Lepisosteus oculatus: one gene and its partner. The main gene of each other region encodes a partner of the protein of the gene in region 2 in a complex. Links are inferred from orthologs where the notes say so. Each region holds a gene or a part of one and is shown on either strand. Other genes may lie near its edges.

Region 1 (11,359 bases), on a different chromosome or scaffold from region 2:
ACAGGAGGTCGGTCTCCCCCAAATTAAAAACCCCAGCCTCCCAAAACAAGAAAAAAAGATTTTTAAAATCACCTCAAACTTTAAGAGGCTGTAAAAGTCGTACTGGAAATGAATGTGGTTAGGATGAGGTTTTCTGCTGTAAACCGTTGTTGCAGTGTTCTTTTTAAAGAGATACGTTTCTTTTTTAAGAAATCCTTGTTTTTTTTGTATATGTCTGTGTGGAGCTTTTATTTACCGCCATCATCTGCACGCGCGAGCTGTCACCGACCGCGAGACAACCGAACAGGAAGAGTCCCGCCCCCCTCTGGCGCGCTGATTGGACAGAAGTGGATCCATCGACTGGTAGGCTCGGTTCTCCATTGGCGGCTGGGACATCCATCAACCAGAAAGCCCTTAAAAAGCCGATTCACAGATGGCCGTACGTGAGACTACTCGATTTCTTCCGTAAGAAGGAAGGAAGTTACGACGAATACGTAGGCATGCGGCTGGGAATCCTCGGCTTCTCTACGGGGATTTATATTCCCAAACACTTACGCAATGCGCTGACTTCTTTACTAGCGCTGGTGGGTTTATATCGAGACGTACGCACCTTGCGCAGCTCTCCTCAGTAAGTTCGGTTGGACGGAAAGGGTAGTAAGTAAGGTATTCACGCACAGACAAAGAGAATTTATAAAGGCATAAACGTTTCGTTTTTTTATTATTATTATTCCTTACAGAGTTGTTTTGATGCTCATCTTGCTACAAACCCCAAGGCCCGGGTGTGAAAATAAAGCCAGTGCCGAAGACGTTAATAAAAGATTAGGACCGAATTAAAATATATGTAAATTAAAATACCATTGCTTGGGCATAATAGAAGTGGTCAAAATAGCTGGTTTTCGCTTTTCAAAGACGCAGCCTTAATTTAACTATAATTTCCGACATTATTCTAACGCCGATTATATTGAAGGGAAGAAAACACTTTTTGGCGTCACTATGTCTCGCATTTCAACAAGTTGCGGCTCCTTGCTAGGAGCCGGAGCCGGGTACAACCTGGCCCGGTGGGTATTTCCTTCAACAGTTCCCACCCGGCTGCGCGTCGTTACACTGATCGCTCGACCGAAACTGAAGGACCTGCTGCATTTTTAGGGGTGTCCTAAAGGATTTCGTTTTCAAATAGACAAATAGACATTCGTTTAGGGCACAGTCTAAATATCCTACGATACATTTTTATATATTTCAGTCATGACGTTGCGCCATAAGGAGTGATGATATTAAAACTTCCAATTTTGTCACGTCAGCTTCACCTGTGTCAGGGGACCTTATATTAAAAATAACCACTTTTCCACTCCGTTGTAAAACGACCGCATTTTTTCCATTTCTAAATAAACACCCAACTAAAAAGCCGGCGGGTCTTATAAGCTCAAAGGAACAAAACCCATACATTCCTTCCTCAGACACGCATTCCGTTGACAGACCGGCACCTTCAAAGATGCAGTTAAGCAACAGGCAATTTTTCCCACATCGTCACCTCCACCGTCCCCACGGCGGCACGCTGGGGAACACGGAGGCAGAACAACGTGCTTCAGGTTCAGCTCATCATTGGGAAATAGTTTTCCCTGGAATCCTGCAGTACTCCTGCAGGAGACTGTAACACGGATTCACTCCACAAAACCTGTTAAGAGGCTAATTCCCAGACTCCGAGACGTCCGGATCAGAGCCACACCTGCCAGGCCTAGCCAGTGCACGAAAACGGCACACAGATCGCCTCACTGCCTGTAACTGGGAGCTGCTACCCTGCGCTGCCCTGCCCTGCTGTGCACAGCGACATTTTCATTTCTCCCTGCAGCACTGCTTCTCGCTAAGACTCTCCAGGAGTCTCGCCTTGGTGATAACTGCAGAGTTCAAAGTCCTGTTGGTGATGTCGAGAGGAAAACGCTTCCTTGGGAGCAAAGCTTTACTTATGCAGCAGACACCATGTGGATCACAAGAAGCAGGAGGTATCTGCATGACTCCTGCGCCCTTGAAAGCTGGCCTGGTCTCCATTCTCAAACACCCCCCACTCCCAGTTCCACAGAAGGAAGCACCGTTTATACCCTGACCACCTCTTCCGCACACCTGGCTGCTTCTGTTCAAACACAGCAGAACTCGCATGAGTAGTGAAGAAACACAGGGGGTCCTTACAGTTGTGACGTACCTTGAGAGCTCGTCTTTACTCATTTTTGTTTAGCACGTTGCGCTCCCTACAGCTGTATCTTGAGGAGGGGACGCAGTTTATCCACTGCAGAAGTGTGGCATCAGTCACCCGAGTGACACGCAGCAGATAGGGTGAATTACCGAGAAGAATTTGCTTCACCAGTAGGATTACAGAAAATGTTATGGAAGCTAGACTGTACATATTCCTAGTGGATTATAGTCATGACAGCAGGGTTAGCACCTGTCCTTTTGTAAACAGTGCCCCGAGGTCTTCTAATGACCAAGTAGACAGGACTTCAATGTTTTAATGTCTGATCCAAAGGAAGTCACCTCCTACAGCACAGCATCCCTCGTTACCTTGTTACTATACAGAGGCACAGGTTTGGAAATTCTGGCCTCCTCAGGGCCACTGCCTCCCATCCCAGAACTGACCAGACCCAGCCCAGCGTACAGGGTGATTAGCACTGCTGTCACATTAGTATTAATGCAGAAGTACTAGGAACCAAAACACCTGAAACCTGAAAACTGACCAAGTTTTTACTTAACTTGAAGAAGGAGGATCACATTATAAGAATCATTTTCCTTGCAAAGGAAACACTTGAAAAGTTTTTGCGGCCGCCTGGAACAAGTTCTAGCAGAGCGCGCAAACACCTTTAACCTTCAGTATTTGTCAACAGCACACTGGGATGATCCCCTTGCTATGAGCTGGAACAGGAGGAATGTTTCTCCAGGCGCCAGGAGCTTTCCAGCAGGCTGCTGTGCCTCTCGCGCAGGAAGTCCAGTGTCCCACTCGGACCCGCGCACACACAAGCACAGCTGGCTCAGGCTCGTGCAGGGATGGGAACCTGTTCTGGAACTCGGGGGCCTCCTCTCAGCGCATGCTGCTCCCGATTGCCACCTGCTGCTTGCGCACCTTGCCGAAGAGCTCCAGGTACTGCGCCATGGTGTCCGAGCAGTCGGAGGGGCTGTAGATGCCGTCGGGTTTGGCAGTGAAGACCATGGGCAGTTCGGGGGTGTGGGGTCCCAGGAATCCCTGCATGAACTCCTTCATCAGATTCCAGCAGTCGTTGGGCACCCCACATGGGCAGTACTCCACCTGCACACACGGGCACACGCAATGTTAGCAGCCTTTCAGCTCCTCACTCCTGCCCCCTTCCCACCTCTACTTCTCCCACTGGGTGCTTTCCTGCTCCTCACCTCCACAGAGATCCCTCTGGCGCTGGAGCCCATGGTGATGGTGCCAACCTTGACCAGGAAGTCGCAGTACTGGAAGCGCGTGCCACGGCTCTCCACCTTGTTACCCTTGGCGTTCTGGAAGTGGCCCTTCAGCTTGATCATCAGCACGTCGAAGTTGGGGTCGGCCACCAGGCAGGGCCCGCCCTCGAAGAGAGCGAAGCAGCTCAAAGGCATCTCCGAGTTGTGCATTACGTACAGGAACTTGGTGGGCTGCCCTGGGGTGAGAGAGGGAGAATGTACAGGCCAGCAGGGCGTTCATCTTTGTACCATCTCAGCCTGGGTCTCTAACACAAACATTTTACTTCTGCATCAAGCCTCTGTGCGCTAGGGGTATTATCTATCTGCATCTTTCCCCCTTTCCTTATTAGCTTTTTTAATACCCTCTGTCTCAAGCTCTCAGTGCTATTTTGTGTTGGACAACTCTCTCCACAACACTCTACCTCTCTCTTTATCCAGAGTAACCACGCTCCCTCGCTCAGCGCTCTCACCTGTAGTGCCCATGGCCCCCGCATGGTAGGTCTCACAGTCCACGCAGAAACTGCCCTGTTTCACTGCTCCCAGCTGCTCCAGCTTCCTGTGCAGCATCTCCACTGTCTGCTGGACACTCTTCCCCTCCACCACCGGCACCTGGCACACACTGCCAGAGCACAGGGTTACTGCTAACACTCCACACACACACACACACTGCCAGAGCACAGGGTTACTGCTAACACTCCACACACACACACACTGCCAGAGCACAGGGTTACTGCTAACACTCCGCGCACACACACACACTGCCAGAGCACAGGGTTACTGCTAACACTCCGCGCACACACACACACTGCCAGAGCACAGGGTTACTGCTAACACTCCGCGCACACACACACACTGCCAGAGCACAGGGTTACTGCTAACACTCCGCGCACACACACACACACTGCCAGAGCACAGGGTTACTGCTAACACTCCGCACACACACACACACTGCCAGAGCACAGGGTTACTGCTAACACTCCCCACACACACACTGCCAGAGCACAGGGTTACTGCTAACACTCCGCACACACACACTGCCAGAGCACAGGGTTACTGCTAACACTCCCCACACACACACTGCCAGAGCACAGGGTTACTGCTAACACTCCCCACACACACACTGCCAGAGCACAGGGTTACTGCTAACACTCCCCACACACACACACACTGCCAGAGCACAGGGTTACTGCTAACACTCCCCACACACACACACACTGCCTGAGCACAGGGTTACTGCTAACACTCCACACACACACACACTGCCAGAGCACAGGGTTACTGCTAACACTCCACACACACACACTGCCAGAGCACAGGGTTACAGCTAACACTCCACACACACACACTGATTTCAACTAATAACCTTCCTAACTGAACAAATTATGAGTTTAACTGGTATTTTTAACACACTGCCGGACTGTGTCAAGTCAAGACTGGAGTTGAGTTCTTATAAAGCAGATAGTTTAAAAACAAAAAAGCAAAGCATCATATATCAATTAGATCGTTTAAATTATATATTTTTTAAATGCATAAAAGTTTTAAATAAATTGTTCTAGGAACCGAGCAAAACTATAGTGCTATTTTAAGAGTTGGTTCAAAAGTGTCATCTTGTGACACAACTGTGCATAAAGCTTTTTAAACATACTGCTAAATTGGAAAATGCAATCGGTTCTGGAATAACCTGCATTAGCCAGGCTGCAGTTACATAATTCAAAACAGCTCCTTTCTCCAAACCACCTTCTTCTCCTCCTGCAGCATCATCATACTGTAATTGTAACGATATACCGCCGGACCAGAGACTCCGCTAATATAGCACACCCTGTCCCTGCACGTAAACAAAGCACGCTGCCTCCTTTCAAACTGCAGACCATTTCGTTTCAAATGGCTTCTAAAGTCCGCAAACTCACAACTGTTGCTGTCGGCGCAGCCCCACCAGGGCCGCGGTTAACCAGTTTAAAAACGTCTGTTATCGTATTATTTAATATTTATGGTGAGGCTCTGGACCCGAGGAACCCAGCTGTGACTATGTTGTTGTACACGTAGGTATGAAACTCGCATTGCTCCAACACCATGTCCAGCCGTGTAAAACAATACGCTCCGGATCGCCATTGTCAATGAAATGACGTTTCTGCTGCAATAAAAGATTCAAATAACTAATCTTACCACGTTACACCCATGTTCGCCTCTGACAGAACAAGACTCCTCTAACTTCACGTTACTTCAGACACGAGCTTCCTGTTATCAGGAAGAGGAAGTGACGCCACGATCGGAGGTTGACAATAACAAATTAGTACAGCTAATTTATATTCATATTATTCTTATCGTGAAATTAAATGATCATTTTCAAGACTTCCTATAAAGACGTTTTTAAAAGTTGTCTTCAATTTTATTTTTTGTGCTTCGAGTGTCGCCATGATTGTGCGGGGTGGAGGGGCGGTGACATCATTTCCGGTGAGTGGCAAAGGGTCACGCGTGCTTGCTGAGTGGTCTTTCTCCACATGTGCGGGCAGAGTTTTAAGTCTGTTTTACAGGTTTCGGCACACAAGACAAACAGAACTCTGACAGCAGAGCGAATCGGCGCCTACGGAGATGCCGAAAGTGAAGAAGACGAAAGGCGGAGGGAGAGCGGAGCACAGCCGAGTCGCGATGGTTCCTCTGGCCGAGCAGATCCTGCAGAGCGATGAGGTGAAGAGCAGCGGCCGGGTGAAGAGCCGTGGCCGCCGGCAGGAGGCTGAGGACGAGTACGTGGACGAGCGGCTGTCCCGGAAGATCCTGGAGCAGGCTCGGATACAGCAGGAGGAGCTGGAGGCGGAGTGCGGGCTCGGGAAGACTGCGGAGAGTAAAAAGCAGCCCACGACCGTGCTGGGTGAGTGTTTAGCGAGGGTGACAGAACGCGTGCCGCTTGTCACGGGCTGGTCCTGCGTCCGGCACGGGTGCGACCTATCTCGGCTGTGCGTGCCGCGTTGTTTGTAAGGAGAGTGACATGAGTGAGGCGTCCTGTTCGTGAACTGTTCGTACAAAAGAGGTGGAAATCAGATACCGCTTCTCTCTGCTGTGCTTCAGCTGCTTGGTCACACACGGCCTCCGGCGCGACCCCTAGCGAGAGGCCACAATCCCATCACCCACCTGGCCAGGTTTTCATGAAGCCAGCCGTAATGCTGGCACTTTGAGAGCAAGTAGCAAACATTGAATCCTCCTTTGGTGTCTAGTGTCCTGAGAGTTATGGGCAGGGGGGTTGTCACCGTCTCAAACTGTATCGCTGTAGAGTGTTGCGATTTGATTCAGAACCAACAGTGAAAACTACTGGGAAGAGTTCTTAAAAACTGAGACCAGGAGGTACTTCTATACACAGAGGGTGGTGGAGGTCTGAAACAAGTGGCCCAGCCATGTTGTTGGAGTTCATTCCCTGGGCCATTTCTGGAAAGATCTGGGTGAAATGATGGGATCAGCTAGCTCCCAACAGCCCTGATGGGGTTTTCTGACCTGTTCCTGTTGCCCTGCAGGCTCTGGCTCCAGGGACTCGGACTCGGAGGAGGAGGAATGGCCGGCGCTGGGGCAGGGGGGAGATGGAGAGGACGGGGAGGGGGCGGCAGGGGCAGAGGTGGAGGTGGACCCGGAGGATGAGAAGGCCATCCAGATGTTCATGAGCAAGAACCCGCCGCTCAGGTACTGACCCGGACCGACCTACCTCACAGAGCCGGGCTCTGGCAATGCAACAGCAAACCTGCTAGAATTCCAGCAGCGCAGCCCAGAGTTTACTCAGTGTTTCTCAACCACAATCCACAAATCGTGTGCAGTGCTCTCTTCCACACGTACGGAACTTTGCTGGAAAAGCTGCCTTGAATATCTGTTTACGTCTAGAAATCCTTGAGATGGGACCATCTTTTCTCTGGCAATGAAAAGACCCCACATCAGTTCCAGCAGCAGAGTCCCTGTGTGTCCAGTAATAGTCAATGTTCAGGAGCGGTCCAGGAGTCCAGACTGTTGAGGCACTCGGGAGTTCTGGGGTCTGTCTGCCAGGGTTTGATGTGGCCAACAGCAGACAAGTGACTGTCTCCTTAAGCCCTGCGTTGTTCCAGCCTGGAATGTCCTGCCCCCGTGTGCGGAGTGCGTGGTTGCTATCCTCCGGCCTCAGTGTGTCAGGCTGCGTTCACGACTGTGCCTCTTCCCCCAGGAGGACTCTGGCGGACATCATCATGGAGAAGATCACAGAGAAGCAGACGGAGGTGGAGACGGTGATGTCGGAGGTGTCGGGGCACCCCATGCCCCAGCTGGACCCCCGAGTCATTGAGGTGTACAAGGGGGTGAAGGAGGTGAGCGTCCTGTGCTGGGCCACGGTGTGGGCGGGGACACCCTCTCTCTCAGTCTGTGTGCTGCCATTCCCTGTCTCTCCCTCACTGTCCTTTCTGACGCACTCTCCCAGGTTCTGTCCAAGTACCGCAGCGGAAAGCTGCCCAAGGCCTTCAAGATCGTGCCTGCTCTGTCCAACTGGGAGCAGGTGCTGTACATCACAGAGCCGGAGACCTGGACGGCGGCAGCGATGTACCAGGCCACACGGTGAGATCAACACTCCCCTCACAGCTCCCGAAACACTTGGCCGGCAGACCGCACTGCTGTTCTTTTGGTTTGTAGCGCTGACACTGTGCAAACGGACAGAGGAGAGGCTTTCCTGTCGTCTCTGTAAAGTGGTTCTCTTTTTTAACCAAGAAAACATTCTCTCATAAACCACTTCAGCCCCAAACTCTTTCCGTGTTCGTAGGGCTATGCGTCCAAGAACATGAGAGCACCCATTGCGCAGGATTCTGATCCACTTATAGTTTTACAAACTGCAGGCTTTTATTCAACTGGTAGCGGCTTTTGAATTTGTGATGGGAATTCATATGTGCCTCAATATGCACAGAAGAGCGTGTAAAGCTAATTGCTACTGTTATGCTTAATCGGTACAATGTATACAGTACAACCTGGTTAAACTCAACCAGGTCAAGCGACAGCTGTCGGATGTGTCCTGTGTGAATTATTGTCCGTGTGCAGGTGTCCCTTTTCTACGCCTCATTTTTCTTTCTCCCTGTTGCCACCTGCAGGATCTTCTCCTCCAATCTGAAGGAGAGGATGGCTCAACGCTTCTATAACCTTGTCCTGCTGCCGCGGATTCGAGATGACATCGCGGAGTATAAACGGCTCAACTTCCACCTGTACAGCGCGCTGAAGAAGGCGCTTTTCAAGCCTGGGGCCTGGTTCAAGGGTGAGAGTCTAAGGCTTTATAATGGCCGTCCCTGGCAGTGCAGGAGATGAGCCACATCGCTAACGTCTCTCCCCCCTCTTTCTCGCTCAGGAATCCTGATCCCCCTGTGCGAGTCGGGGACCTGCACGCTGAGAGAGGCCATCATCATCGGCAGCATCATCACCAAGTGCTCCATCCCTGTCCTGCACTCCAGGTACACAAGCAGGAGGGAGGGCCGGCAATATTATTTCGTTATTTGGCAGGCACTTTTATCTAGCGCAACCTCCAGAAGTTACTATTGCAGCACCTTTTTTTTTCCCCCATGTACACATGTTGGTGTCCATTTCTGGAGGTGTGTTGTTTTACTCTGGGGTAAACAGCAGAGGCCCCACCTGGGATTCAAACCCACAGCCCTTTGGGCAGGGGCTCAGAGGTCCCCTTCATGCTGCAGAGGTTCGGGCAAGTTCAGCACACTGAATGGTCCCTGTCTTTCCCCTCCTCCAGCGCGGCCATGCTGAAGCTGGCGGAGATGGAGTACACCGGCGCCAACAGCATCTTCCTGCGCCTGCTCCTGGACAAGAAGTACGCGCTGCCCTTCCGCGTGCTGGACGCGCTGGTCTTCCACTTCCTGCGCTTCCGCAGCGACCGCCGCGCGCTGCCTGTCCTGTGGCACCAGAGCCTGCTGACGCTGGCGCAGCGCTACAAGGAGGACCTGTCGTCCGAGCAGAAGGGGGCGCTCCTGGAGCTGCTCAGGGTGCACTGCCACCCCCAGATCTCCGCCGAGGTGCGCCGGGAGCTGCAGCACTCGAAGTCCCGCGACGAGGAGACCGCCGCCCCCGCCATGGCCCTGGACTAGACGCCCTCCGGCCCCGGCCCCCCGCCTTCCTGCCTCATCATGTTCTAGAGAAATTGCGTCGCTTCCCTGTTCCAGGCCAAACGGCAGAACGTCGTGCTTCCTCTTGATTTCAACAAAACGCAATGGCGCCTTTCTTCTCTTCTTTCCTGGAGCAGAAGCAAATGTTTCCCTGTGGGGGGAATGGGCCGGCTCAGTCCTGCCCTGGGCTCAGCTCGACTGTGCGACTCGGGATGCGGATTTCGCATGGGATTGGCGGGGTCTGGGGAATGTGAAGGGGACGAGGCTTCTGACTGGGAGAGGAGGTCCCGTCTTCACAGCTGGAGGCACCCTTCTCTGATAAAGACACCGTCACGAAGGGAGTCACCCCGCCTGCCAGCAAGCAAGCGTTCAAGTAGTTGTCAGAGAGTGCTGTGGCATGTTGTGCAAGCTCAGTGCGTGCTGCTCTTACTGAGGAAAAAAGCTGTGAGTTGTGTAGAGCCAGTTAGCAGAGCTGGGAGGGCAAGGGGTGTTTAGGGCCCGAGGCTGCTGCTGTGTGGAGCTGTCAGCTTTCTAAAACTGGCCATAGACATTCCCAAAAAGCCGTCTAGACTCGCGAAGAAGCCCAAGTGGAAAACTGAAATTGAAAAGACAGCAACTGCAGAACCACACTGTTTGTTTACTGAACTTCTCACCCACCAGAGCGGGCATACTCTGACTCTGACTCACAGGCTGCTGGGTGAGTTTCTGCCAATCAGAACAAACAATGAGGAGGTTTAATGTAAACTTGCAGCATTAAAAGTACTTGGTTGGTATTTGTGTGCATTGTTTTGAGTTCACGGATGTAATCCAACCTGACTCAGGAACTGAACTCAAAAGGTTGAGGATCTTCATGAGGGGTTTTCACTGTGTATAGCACTTACTGAACAACTGGGATAACATTTTAAAAGTATTGATCACTGCATACTTAATTTATATACCGAGTAATTTACTGTGTCTCTGCTGCTTTAGTGGCTTCTTTCTCATATTAGGGTTGAACAGATCCAGGTTCACTAAAATAGACTTCATTTCTGATCAGCCATCACATGCTCCCAGCTTAATCAAAATGATCGATTTCTATAATTTTGTGTTTTACTCAGCTATGTATTTTCAAGTTGAGATCCAAGCCTGGTGTAGGCCCTTTTCCTATACTAAGTTCATAATTTGTATTTGGGACTTTGGTGCTTGTAATTTGGGTTTGTAGAACTATTTTAAAAAACATCTGTGGAGTATAACATAACTTTTATAGATAGAACCTTCCAGTGACCATAACAGAAACTGTTCTCAGTGTGTTTCTGCAACAGAGAAGAGCTATTTGTGCACAATGACACATTCCAGCTGCTCCCAAGACCAGAAATGAGACATCACCACCACTGAACAGCCACAAAATACAATTCAATATTTTAATTTTCATTGTTTAAAAATCTTTTAACAGCAGCAGTCTTGTGTTTTATTTGAAAAGGTGACATTTTAAACTCTCCAAACAGGAGCAGTTAGTGATACTGTTGGCTAATTGACAAACACTCACACCTGCAGATGCAGTCTTTGACACAGCAGTTATGCTTCTGGGACAAACAGGCTTAGAAAAAATAATTCTCAAAATTCTCCAACAAAACTGTTGAACAGATGGGAGGAAAGGGATCCATATCCATTCTTTCTCCATCAGAACAGGGCTACTCGGCTTGCATCCTCTCTAGTAACATGCAGTGCAGAATTCTGCTACATTTGTTTTACTGAAAATTAGCAGGATGAATACAACGTGGTGCTGTATCCAGTTTGGCTGCTGCAGTGAAATGTACTAGAAGGGCGACAGGTTAGGCTCTCCAGCCCACTGGAACAAA
Region 2 (11,607 bases):
ACGCCCTGGACAGGATGTCAGTCCATCACAGGGCAGACACTCAGACACACCACACCTCACACCAACTCTCCCAGCAGCCAGCGTCCCTACCAGCATGTCTTTGGACAGTGTGAGGAAACCAGAGCACCCAGAGAAAACCCATGGGAAGAACATACACACTCCACCCCAGGAACTGAACCCAGGGCCACGGTGCTGTGAGACAGCAATGCTTACTACCATGCCATCTTGTTGCCATAATATGTTTTACCGTGGTAGTCATGCAAAGCATAAAATAGAAACTAAAATGCAGGTTGACAAAAACCAATCAATCCTTAAAGGTTTGCAAAAGAACCTGCGCTGCTTAAAGGGCAACTGCAGAGCACCCCTGTCCCATCGCCCACCTTGAGGAAGGTGAAGGCGGTCCACTTCAGCTCCTCGGTGCCCTCCGGCGACTCGATCAGCCCGGTGAAGCAGGCCTTCCAGATCTCCAGCACGAACAGGGGCGAGGGGATCCGCTGGGGGGGTGGGCAGCAAACACACACACACAGGGTTAATCCCGGCAAGCCCCTCGCCGTTGCTGCCCTGCTTCCACGGGGACTTACACTGGAGCTGCAAGAACCGTCAGTGCAAAAAACCACACACCCACACACATACATATATATATAAACCACGTGTGGGACATCTCCTGGTCACCCATGTAAAAGGTGCAATAATATTCCCAGGGTTGCTCCCATGAGGGGTTCAGCTCAAAAAGCAAAGGCACGAGACTTACAGTTCTCAAAAAAGAAAAGCTTGTCCTCACAAAGCACTCATTCAGAGGATGCTCAGCGAACGCTGGGCGCCTAAGCGCTTTTACAGCCGGACCACGGCGATGCCAACAGGTGCACCTTGCCAATGGAGCCCTCATCTGCTTCCCACACACTTGCCTGCCCCTATGCGGCCGTCGAGACCTCGAGTCTGACTCCAGTCTGCGTGGCGGCGCTCTCCTCCTCGCAGTGGGGAGTCCCTGCGGGAGGGGGCGGGGCCGGCACCCCCCGCTCACCTGCATCCTCTTGATCATCATGAGCTGCTCCACCAGGGGCTGCGTCTCCCCGGTCAGGTTCATGGTGCCCTCCAGCATGACCAGGGTGTGCACCGAGGGGAAGGAGGTGCGCTGGGGGGGCTCGGCCTGCACCACCAGCATCAGGGGGATACTGGGGGAGAGGGGCGGAGACAAGTAGGAACCAGGGAAGGGGCCGGGAAAGAAAAGAGGAGAAAAGATGGACAGAAGGAGGAGGGGTCAGGACTCATACAACTGTCTTCACACCCCGCATACACAACTGTCATGAGCTTACAGACAGAATAAGGTCAGAACCCATTGAGCTTGAGGTATGAGATGCCCCCTTACGTTATATATAACACCACCCTCTTGAAGTATGAAGAACGCCTGTACATGATAAGACGTCCCCTTGAGGTATGGGGAACCCCTGTCTTATATAACACCTCCCCATCTTACAGGTTATGAGGTAAGGTTCCCCTTGAAGGCTCTCGTGACATTGAAGAAATGCTGCACCGCGAGAAAGCATGGCACAGATCAAAGGCTACAGCAGCCTGCATTAATAAGGTTTATTTGAGTAGGCCAGTCTTGATCTGTGTGGAAATGATTTCTTTCACAGGTTACCGGGTGCACTTATCTAAAGAGCCAATATCATCACCACAACCCCGCCCTGCGCTCACCTCTTCACCAATGACAGGCACTCCTCCAGCTTGCTCCTCAGCACCTGATTGGTCAAACTGTTGAGGTTCTCCGTCACTCGGATCACCGCCTGCTCCACATTGGTCCAGGAGGCTGTCAATCACAACCAGGGGAGGGCGGGACAAGACCGTGGTCTCAGTTTGCTTCTACAGTGGCTGTGTGCCTGTTTCTGGAATGTCAGATTCCTGCGCTCATGACAGAAACTGCACCGCTAACGGACAAAAGAATGCTGCATTTGTGATGAGAGCTTGTGGCGACTGTGGTGTGCAAATGGTTTGTCACAGCATATCTAAAAAAAAAAAAAAACAGTCCCCTAACCCCCTGAGCGGGGCACTGACCCTGCTCCTCCAGCCGGGCGATGTGGATCAGGGCCCGGTTCTTGGTGCCCCGCAGGAGCCCCTCCAGCCGGTCCACGCAGGCCCGCAGGCTGGCCTCCCCCGCCTGCTCCCCCTGCTCGCGCAGCCGCGCGCTGTACCAGGCGCAGCCCTGCAGCAGCCACACCAGCGCGGCCAGCAGGGAGCGGCACAGCCCGATGCACTCCTCCGCCTTGCCGTGGCAGCTGGGGGGGGGGGGGGAGAAGGAGCGTAAGACAAGAGGTGCACAACGGGGGGGGGGGTGTTGGCACAGCCACACGCTTTCCATAACACCAGCGATGATCCGTCAGGCTGTGCCTGCCTCCGCCCATAATCAGGACTGGGTAAGGGTCCCTTGGGGAGCCCTACAGTTTAGCCCGACTTCACCTCTTGGGGGGACCGTCCCCTGGCTCCTGGACAGACGACACCAGTGCCCCCACCCCTGGCGCAGACTGGTAGCAAGGAAGAGATTTGCCCACGGACAGGTAGTGAGACAGGGAGCCCAATCGCCTTTCACCAAGGGATCAAAACCCTGGGGGACAGTGAAGCCTCACTTGCACAGCTTTTGGGAAGCGGGTGGAAACCGGAGAACCAGGAAACCAGCAAGGACCATGCAAGCTCCACACACACAGGCAATACAGGCCGGGACTGATCCACACATCCGCAACACAGCTGGGCAGCCTGATCCACTCTGCGAAGAATATGACCTCCGTTGACCTATCAGTATGTTATTCGCAATGTGGGGTAATTCCTCGCCTACCTGAGCTGATGGGAGAACATGTCCATTATCTCCAGCAGGGACTTGACGCAGAGCTCCCGGGAGAAATCGTCAAACTGGGGACCAATCAGAATAAACAGGGTGGTGAGGGTCAGTCACGTGCCCAGCTTCCAAACAGATTGAGAACAGAAGCAGAGGACACCTGTCTTATTAAACATCACCGGGATCTACAGCTGCAGAATGCATTAACTTTTTAACTTTTTGGGAATTAATTAAAAAGAACACCGTGGAATATCTATTATCCAAGTACAGTAGAAATGTGATTTATATTAACTAATGCACACTGCAGATGTTTTGCTTTGGCAATAAAAAAAAAACATATACCCACCTTACTAACAGCTGTCAAAATGCTGGAATAGGAAACCATCTAGGGGAGAAATAAGATGACGAGAGTTAATTTTACTGTCTATATCAATGTCAATGTCAATATCGCCTCACCACTCTGACCCACAGATCAAAGCATGTCTCAAACCAAAAATCCCTCCATTAAACCTCCAATCCACTCTGTACTCCTGGCACTGTACCTGCGAACTGATGGCGTACTTCAGGTAGGACAGGATGAGAGGGTTGGGCGACAGTCCAATCATGGCCTGCTCCAGGAGAGCTTCTGCACACAGGGGACAACAAATACCCAGTATGACGCATCAGAATGCCCAAAGAAGAACCCACTAGACTGTGTCCAGACCTGAAACTCCATTCAACAAAGCGACTATACCACACATACTGCATGCTCCTCAAGGGGCACAATGTAATAGAAAAAGTTAGTCATAGGTGCAGTGTTTCTTGTCCAAGCTGCAAGAATTAACAAAATATATCACTGTTGTTTGTTTACTATTACCACCCACAATTAAGTGGCTCCATCGCCCACCAGATCATCTTGGCTTGGAGCTGGGCAGAGATGTGCAGACATCCAGTAGCTGTAACTTTCACCATCCCTCATCAACAAGCAAGCATAGAGCCATCTGCTGTATCACCCTGCAACCCACTGGAGCTCAGCAGGTGTGAGCCTGGCCAGTACCTGGATGGAGACCTCCTGGGAAAAACTAAGGTTGCTGCTGGAAGAGGTGTGAGTGGGACTGGTAGGGAGCGCTCACCCTGCGGTATGTGTGGGTCCTAATGCCCTAACGAGACGTAAAGGACATCAAGACAGTCAGCGACGGGAACACACACAGAGGCACGACTGACCAGCCAGGTTGAGGTAGTCCCAGGTAGCTCCCTTGGGGAAGTTCTTCTTGATGTTGATGGCCCACTGAAAGTCACTCCAGCGCTCCTTCCAGGCCTGCAGGATGGCCTGCTTGAGATTCACCACCTTCATCTCGTGCGCTGCACCACCCCGTCACACCGACACGCCGACACGCCGCTGGGGAGAGCACACAGGCTATTTCTGGCTGTGCCAACTCCAGGCCAGCAACTTGTGCTTTTATATATTTCATTCTTACACCACAATTTGTGCAAATTCCCAATCTAGGTATGGAGAGTTTCACCCGTCTCCCATCACTATTGCCTTATTAAATATTAGACTGCTCAAATGTAGAGTTGTCAGAAAATAAACAAGGTCTATATTAAAGAACACAATACATTCATTTCTAAAATAGCCTTCAAGGTCTTAACGGATCACAGATCTTTACAATTACAATCTTACGTCCAGGTGTCTAACAGTTAATTAACCACCTGCAAAGTTTAGCACAGCCATGGCATGAAGGAGCTATGAACAGCAACCTGCAGGCCTCACAAGACAAATACCGTGTAAACAACGCAGGGTTTAACTGGAAACAACTGCGTTGCTTCGGAAGCCCCAGATATTCAGTATTAACCGTCAACCACAAACCAATTACAACGTGTGAACAATGACGCTGCACATATCCCGAAAAAGAATTCAAAATGCAAGTAGAGGCGCTTAAACTTGAGAGGATTCTCGAGTAGTTCACGTTCCCCTTCACGATAAGTCAGATCCGGGAACACTGGAGACTTCGGTAATAAAATCCCTCCACAAGTGGGGTGGCACTTGTCAACACAAGCCTGAAAACGCGTGAGTGTTTTTGTACTGTGAAAATGTATTGCCAGCGAAAATGTTTCAATTACTGCAGCGTAAAACTCTGCCCCAGAAAGTTCAGTGGCAGTTTCGCCTCAGCCTCTCACAGTTTATTCACTGTAAGATAGCTAAAGGTGGGGATAGAGTAGAGTTTCAAGAACCCACAGGGGATTTATCACACACTTTATAAATAAACCCAGGCTGTCCAATTTTCCATTTCTCCGACGGCTCCATGTAACCACGAAAATAAATTAAAAGTGCGGTATAGGGCGGTTACACAAACCTTGAAGCGTTCAAACACTACACTGCTCAAATGTAGAGATGTCGGCAAATAAACAAGGTCCATATTTAAGAACACTATACAATTTCCCCACAACAAGAGTAAGAATATGGGAAAAAAAGTGTTCACGGGCGGGTCACCTCCTTTCCCGAAACGGTCTAGTCAAATGTGTGAAATTCTCAACAAAAGCATCGCGTTCAAAGTGCTAACGGTAAAGCTTTTTGGAAACTATACAGAATATAGTTAATTATCACCTAAATGATACAATACTTACATTTTAATATTTAACGCATAAAAGCGAACCAGCATAACAAAACCAATTCAAGCCCTCTTCCTACTGGCCTGACTGTCCGGATTCATGTGTCAGAACCGCATTAAAGGATCATGGCTTCCTTTGCTCTGCAGGCGACGGGATATTTATTTTTTACGTATTTCCTTCCAGCTGAACCTGCAGGCAGGGAGATGTGAAGCGCAGACAATTGAGCCTTGGGACAATAAAAGTCTTGTATTTGATATTTTATTGATTTATATATGTACAATGGGAGTAATTATTCGGGATGGGAACCTGTAAAGCTTATATGATCGCAATTTTGCTTAAAACTCCCTTAAAAACCTAAAAAATGAAAAAGGCAACCCTCCCCCACACACACACACACAATTTATGTAAAAATATGAAACTATTGCGTTCTGATTTGAAAGTACCCTGGCACCGTGTTGTTGTTTTTTTCGTTCACTTATATTTTGATCTTTTTTGGAAACCTTTTCTCCGTTACATGTATTATTTGATGCTCAATAAAAACTTAAAATATATATATATATTTATACGGATAGGGGAATTGGAAGAAAACCACCTTTGATAAGGAGCAAGTTTTTAATGCGGTTGTGTTACGTAAACCAAGACCATGTCGCGCCTCTGATGTCATTCTTCTAAAAAAAAAAAGGTACAAAGCTCTCACTGTGATTGGTTGCTCGACCAGCCACTATGCAATCGCCTAATAGGTTAAAACGCAAACCGGCTGTAAGGGATTGTGGGAGTTGTAGTGCTTGTCAACCTGATCATATTTGAGGTATAGAAGGCAAAGGTTTACTTATGCTGAAAGGAAAAGAAAAGAGACACATTTCGACTGTAGGAGTGATGGATGTGTGCTGATGTTCTACTTGTATTTTGATAGCTGTGAGATGAAACTTAGGATCATAATTACAAGACTGGGGGGGGGAAAAAGGCACAAAGAGTTTTTCTAGGCAGCCCTACAGCGACGACACCTACTGGTGAAGCTGTTTCTCACCTCTCTGCCTGATCGGCGAGGTCGGGCAGCTGGTGCAGAATGACAGTCCTGCAGTCCACGTCCTAGAGCAGCAGTTCCCCGTCCCAGTCCTGGTGACCCCCAGACCTGCTGGTCGGTGTTCCAGTTACACAATCAAATCCTTCGTTGACCTAATAATAATCAGGTGGGGAGCTGCGTCAGCATGCGTAGGCTGCAAAGGAACAAGTAATGGGTTTATTCCATGCTGAAAAAAAGAAGAAAGACAACACAACGTTTCTCAGGTGACACCTGAAGAAGGCTCCACGGCCGAAACGTTGCGTTCTCTTTCTTCTTTTTTTCAGCATGGAATAAACCTATTACTTTTGAAGCGTTTGCTCCCGGCTCTTAAACATGCTGCAGTGTTAGCCAGTGTATGTTGTAAGTGAAATGAAATTGTGACTGAAAACAAGAAGCAAATATTGCAGTGAAAATCTGGAATGAAAACCAGCAGTGTGGGAACCTCTGACTTAGACGGTCCTCCAGCATGTGAAGTGCTTCTGTATGATGTAAACTCAAGTAATTAGAATTCAATTACAGCGTTTAATCAGGATATTGTTTGGTTTATCTACCCTAAAACCAAATACAAGACATCCACTGACTTTCATATTGACCCCACACAGCACTATACTGCAGTGAACTGTTCGTTAGCATGCAGGATTAAAAAATAATGCTGAAAAGAATATGATGAATGGAATACTTATAACAAATGCTAAAACACGGGGCTTAGACAGGCTGCGAGATCAATCAGCTGCTTAAGGCATAAGAACAACCCACCACTACACAACAAGCTTGTCCAAAACCACAAGACCTCTTGATAGAAATATGTTTCTATTGTCATGTCAGTGTAGCTCTCAGGCAAATTCCTTTAGACTGATATTGTAGTTTGTAGGAGTTTTTCATGTTTTCATCACAGGAAAAAAAAACGAATCGCACCTACTGATTTTTTTTAAATAATTCCATTTATTTCCAACATATATAGAACTTGTTTTCTCAGGGGTTGCATTGTTTTTTTTAAAGCACTGAACCATGTAAATATTAAAGGGACTTGTTTCATGCAGGCTGGCTTAGCAATGTTACACCATTTCATATTAGCAACATTTTAAAAACAATTAATATTTTTTGTTTCTCTAATATGTTACACATTTGAAGACCATATGTACAAAAAGGTAAAATAAACTTTACAGCAAATATTTGCATACATTTTTAAAACAACAATAATACATATGCATAGAACATACAGATTCATTTCTGTGTCTTTTTCCTTGTTTGTGTATTTGACAGTTCTTGTCCAAGGCCTCAGAGGAATGGTCAGATTTTTGTTTTGATTAGTTCTGCTGGAAGATGAACAGTCTGCCTCCACCCTGTAAATTCAATTCTCCTGGAATGAAAAGCACAGTACCAGTTTTATTCTTCGATTTCCCCTTGACCAGTGTCAACGAGTTTCCTGCAAACATAAGAACAGTCGGTTGCTTTTGTTTGGGGGAAAAAAAATAAAATAAAAACACTTTTATTTCCCCCATAGCAGCATTTAAGTTTTGTATTCATTTCAGACATGAATAAGGAAACTGCATAGTTGTCTTTTTTTGGAGTGTGCTTTTATCAGCCTTCAGAGAGGTATGCCATATTATTGTAACCTTGGAGATCTTGCTAACTTAAGGTAGAAGGAACAGGATAACGTAGGAGGTGGAATAGTAAAATAAATGTAAAAAAATGGGTAAAATGATCAAAACTAAAAACTGAGTGTTGCGTTGTTTCTTATTTTTCAAGGGAACACAGAGCATTATGCTCTCACAACACACATCAGAAATGAGGCACTTCTAGGACTTCTTCAGAAAAAGAAAATGGGAATCTTGAATAAAAAAGCAAAACAAGATTGTGTTACCATTTTACCCTGCAGTAGGCACAACACAGTCCAGGGGTTCACACAGTCAAGGGAACGGGCATCGCATACGCTCAGAATTTGCTTCCCCGAATGGACGAGGAACATTGATGATAACTGTCCACTGGGGGGGGCAACAGGATTCCTTGTTTCACTCAGGCAGGTCTCCCAGCTTGAACACACTGCTCATCGACTCGGGTTGAGGCAAGAAACTCCTCAGAAACTGTCATGGGAGATCACACTTAAACTTCCAGTTGCAAAGGAAGCAGAGCTACAAGTGCATTTATCATCAAAGCACGGTGTGTAAGGGTAAAGTACTGTAGATACTAAGGAGATGCCAAGCGGGTGTGTTAATTTTAGTGACACTCTGCAGCCAGACTGAAGCAATATGTCCCTTTTATTGTGTCATCTGCTCCGATCCAAAATCATGTCTTAAACTAATCTTCCTTTTTTTTTTTTTTGCCTCCAATCCATTCAGGAACCAGTCCAGGTATCTCCAGTCACATGGCCTGCATGTTTCCTGTCTGAAGACCTCTCACTTCCCGTACAGAGTTGACTTTCAGTGGACACGGCCTTCTTAGAATGCCTTTCATTTTGCATTCGCTATCAAGCTCTGCCAAGCCACGTCCCAATACAATCACTCCTGTGCAGAGCTCTGCCACAGTGATGGAATTGCCTGACTTTTCAATATCACATCCGCCCCTATGGTACACAGAGCATCCTGTCTGCGTGCCTTCCTGACTGCCTGTGCACCCAAAAACAAAACCCTGAAGGGGGAGATGAAGCATCAAAAACCCATGTTAGCTGTATAAATAAAATCTGCAGGTGACACAAACCCTGGAATACAAGGGATGGCAGTTCAGAAGTGTCAAGGACTGGACATGGGCTTCTGTTGCTAGCTTGCTTCTTACAATGTTTAAAATGCACCTTCAGCAGGTGGTCCTGCAGGGCACGGGGGGGGGGGGGGGGAGGGGTGAAATGATTTGTCCCAGCAGTGGCCAGATGGTTGGACTAAGCTATTCCCCCCAGGCCTGCGAGCAGTGGCCGCAGAGAGGATGCCATGGACAGATGACTCATGCAGAACAGAAGGTGCGGTTCTCTGTTGGAATGTGACCAATGGTCCTCATCGTTCAGGGGCAGGGAAGAGGCTAAAAGTGCCAAGGGCGCACAGCCGAAGAAGGGCGCCGCCTTGTGGTTAAACCGAACAGCAGCCTGGTCGCCCTTTGGTTTCGCTGGTCAGCCGTGACGGGGGTGGCCTCCACATGCATACATCCCAATGTGCCTCACAAAAAGAAGCAACTAATCACTGCTGCATCAAGGCAGGAGTGTGGAAATACAGTTGTCGAGAATTTCTTTCTGACCAATCTAAGGGCCGAGGGGGAGTGGGTTGCTGCAGGTGGGAAAATAATCATATTGCTTAAATCTTGGCAGCAGGGAGGCAAAACAGACTAAAGGTCCATAACACCCTGTTCTAACATGCCGAGGGACTTCTAGACCTTCTCCAACAGGTTTCTATTTCATTTTCTGATTGTTGACAATTTTGCAATGTATTATTGGTTAACTCTTCTTTGTTGCTTCTGCTCATGTTCCTAGTTCCCTGCGTAATCTGGCATTTTGAGCTGAAAAGAAGAGCTTCTGAAAAAAAGACTCCTCCAGACTGACTGCATACACTCCTTAAGAGGGGGCGGGGGAGCAAAATTATGCTGCACTCCGACTGTAAAAGCACTGTGCTGTATGCAACACTGATAAAACTCCCCCTGGAACAGCCAGCATGGGTCTCCTCTGTAGCAGAAACTAAAATTACAGACTACACTACTTTTAGTTAGGGCAACAGTACCTCACCCACTGGGACACACAAACAAGAATGCTTTAGGGCCCTAAAAGGTCAATATAGGCAAATCTGGCAGGTCTGGCTACCCAGAGAGAAACACGCTGAGCTCCCACTGCAAGCGGGGAGGAAAAAGAGAAAGAGATGCTCTTTCTGCGGCACTGCAAGAAAACCTCTGGATAAAGATCAACATTCCTCCCCACGTTAGCAAAGCTAATCCCTCACATGTACGATTCACAAGAGCTTCCAGTCCTAGATTTCCAGACATGACAAGAGATATAAAGTTTTTAAATGGTGCCGTGTTTTATGAACACACTTTTACCCTTACACACACACACACAAGGCTCCCTTCTAAAATTAAGAATAAATGATTTTTTTTTTATTGATATAAGGCAGATCCTGACTAGGAGACTTAAATAGTACAATCATCTGATGCTCCAGTAATACGTTCTGTGAAGACACTTTCAGGTTTGTGTCTGAATGAACTGCTGTATGTCAAATACACAGAAAGACCCCAGCGGTCCTTCCCCCATATCAACACACCAAAGGACCACATTTCTACTGTTACACGTCCACACAAATGCAATAATTAAGACCTTCAGACCATACAGCTCACCAATTCACAATCTGTCAAAAGGCTGCAGCCAACAAGCCCATGTAAACACAGTCCTGATAGTTCAGATCTCTCCCCCCACCTGTCTGATAACAACATCCAATAAAAAAAAAACACTCTTTACCCAACAACCTGGACGCACCCAGAATTCCCCCCACCCACCTGCAAACATTGGGAAATATGGCCAAAACACGAAATCCAAATATCGTTAGTATCATTACGGTCGCAGAAAAGAAGTATCAAAACAACAGCCAGGAAAAGGCCTAGTGTCAGAATTCAGTAAGGAAACTATGAAAACTAGTTGTTGTCCTCAAACAAATGACTACGTGTATGAATATATATATAGCCCGTGTGTATGTATAAAAAGTACATCTGTTTGTAAAAGTAGTTAGGCATTTTAACCCCTTCCCCAGAAGATTTTCTCTTCTATGACACGAGGGCATTCCAGATCTCAATAACTTTGTCCAGAGTTCCCAGCTGTGGGGACACAGACCGCCATCATCTCACTGGGAGAGGAAGCTCTGATGACGCCTCGACTGGGAAGTCTTGGAAAGTTGCATAGATTATGCCTGAAGTTCTTTCTAGTGCACGATCCTTTCCGGTGTCACTTGTCTCTCTCGAGCCAGCCCTAGTGGCGATCGTCCCTCTCTTTCAAGTCCTTGCCAATAGAAACAATGGTACGGCGCCCCAAATTGAAGGCTAGATACATCGCAGAAGTGTTCCCGGCAAGGAGGAGGAGGGATTTCACTGAGTGACAGGGCTAGGCAAAGTGCTCCCAGAACTCTCCGTCTGATCACTGCACCTCTGTGAGGAAATAGTCCCCCCG

The links.
Region 1: med24 (region 2) and med20 share a complex: the UniProt entries of both Homo sapiens proteins name them as parts of the mediator complex. The link is inferred for Lepisosteus oculatus from reciprocal best matches to the Homo sapiens genes MED24 and MED20.

The regions. Positions count from the first base shown.
Region 1 is NC_090700.1:40,787,754-40,799,112, forward strand, and holds med20 (mediator of RNA polymerase II transcription subunit 20), read right to left. Parts: upstream 5,688-11,359; 5' UTR 5,604-5,687; coding exon 5,590-5,603; intron 4,046-5,589; coding exon 3,897-4,045; intron 3,624-3,896; coding exon 3,370-3,623; intron 3,269-3,369; coding exon 3,044-3,268; 3' UTR 2,696-3,043; downstream 1-2,695. Other genes in the region: bysl (bystin), read left to right, coding at 6,016-6,292, 6,930-7,092, 7,601-7,739, 7,850-7,983, 8,508-8,668, 8,759-8,861, 9,152-9,503. UniProt on the Homo sapiens protein: Component of the Mediator complex, a coactivator involved in the regulated transcription of nearly all RNA polymerase II-dependent genes.
Region 2 is NC_090723.1:6,285,592-6,297,198, reverse strand, and holds the start of med24 (mediator of RNA polymerase II transcription subunit 24), read right to left. Parts: upstream 5,555-11,607; 5' UTR 5,432-5,554; intron 4,206-5,431; 5' UTR 4,161-4,205; coding exon 4,031-4,160; intron 3,453-4,030; coding exon 3,370-3,452; intron 3,213-3,369; coding exon 3,174-3,212; intron 2,902-3,173; coding exon 2,828-2,901; intron 2,274-2,827; coding exon 2,053-2,273; intron 1,808-2,052; coding exon 1,696-1,807; intron 1,173-1,695; coding exon 1,022-1,172; intron 495-1,021; coding exon 381-494; intron 1-380. UniProt on the Homo sapiens protein: Component of the Mediator complex, a coactivator involved in the regulated transcription of nearly all RNA polymerase II-dependent genes.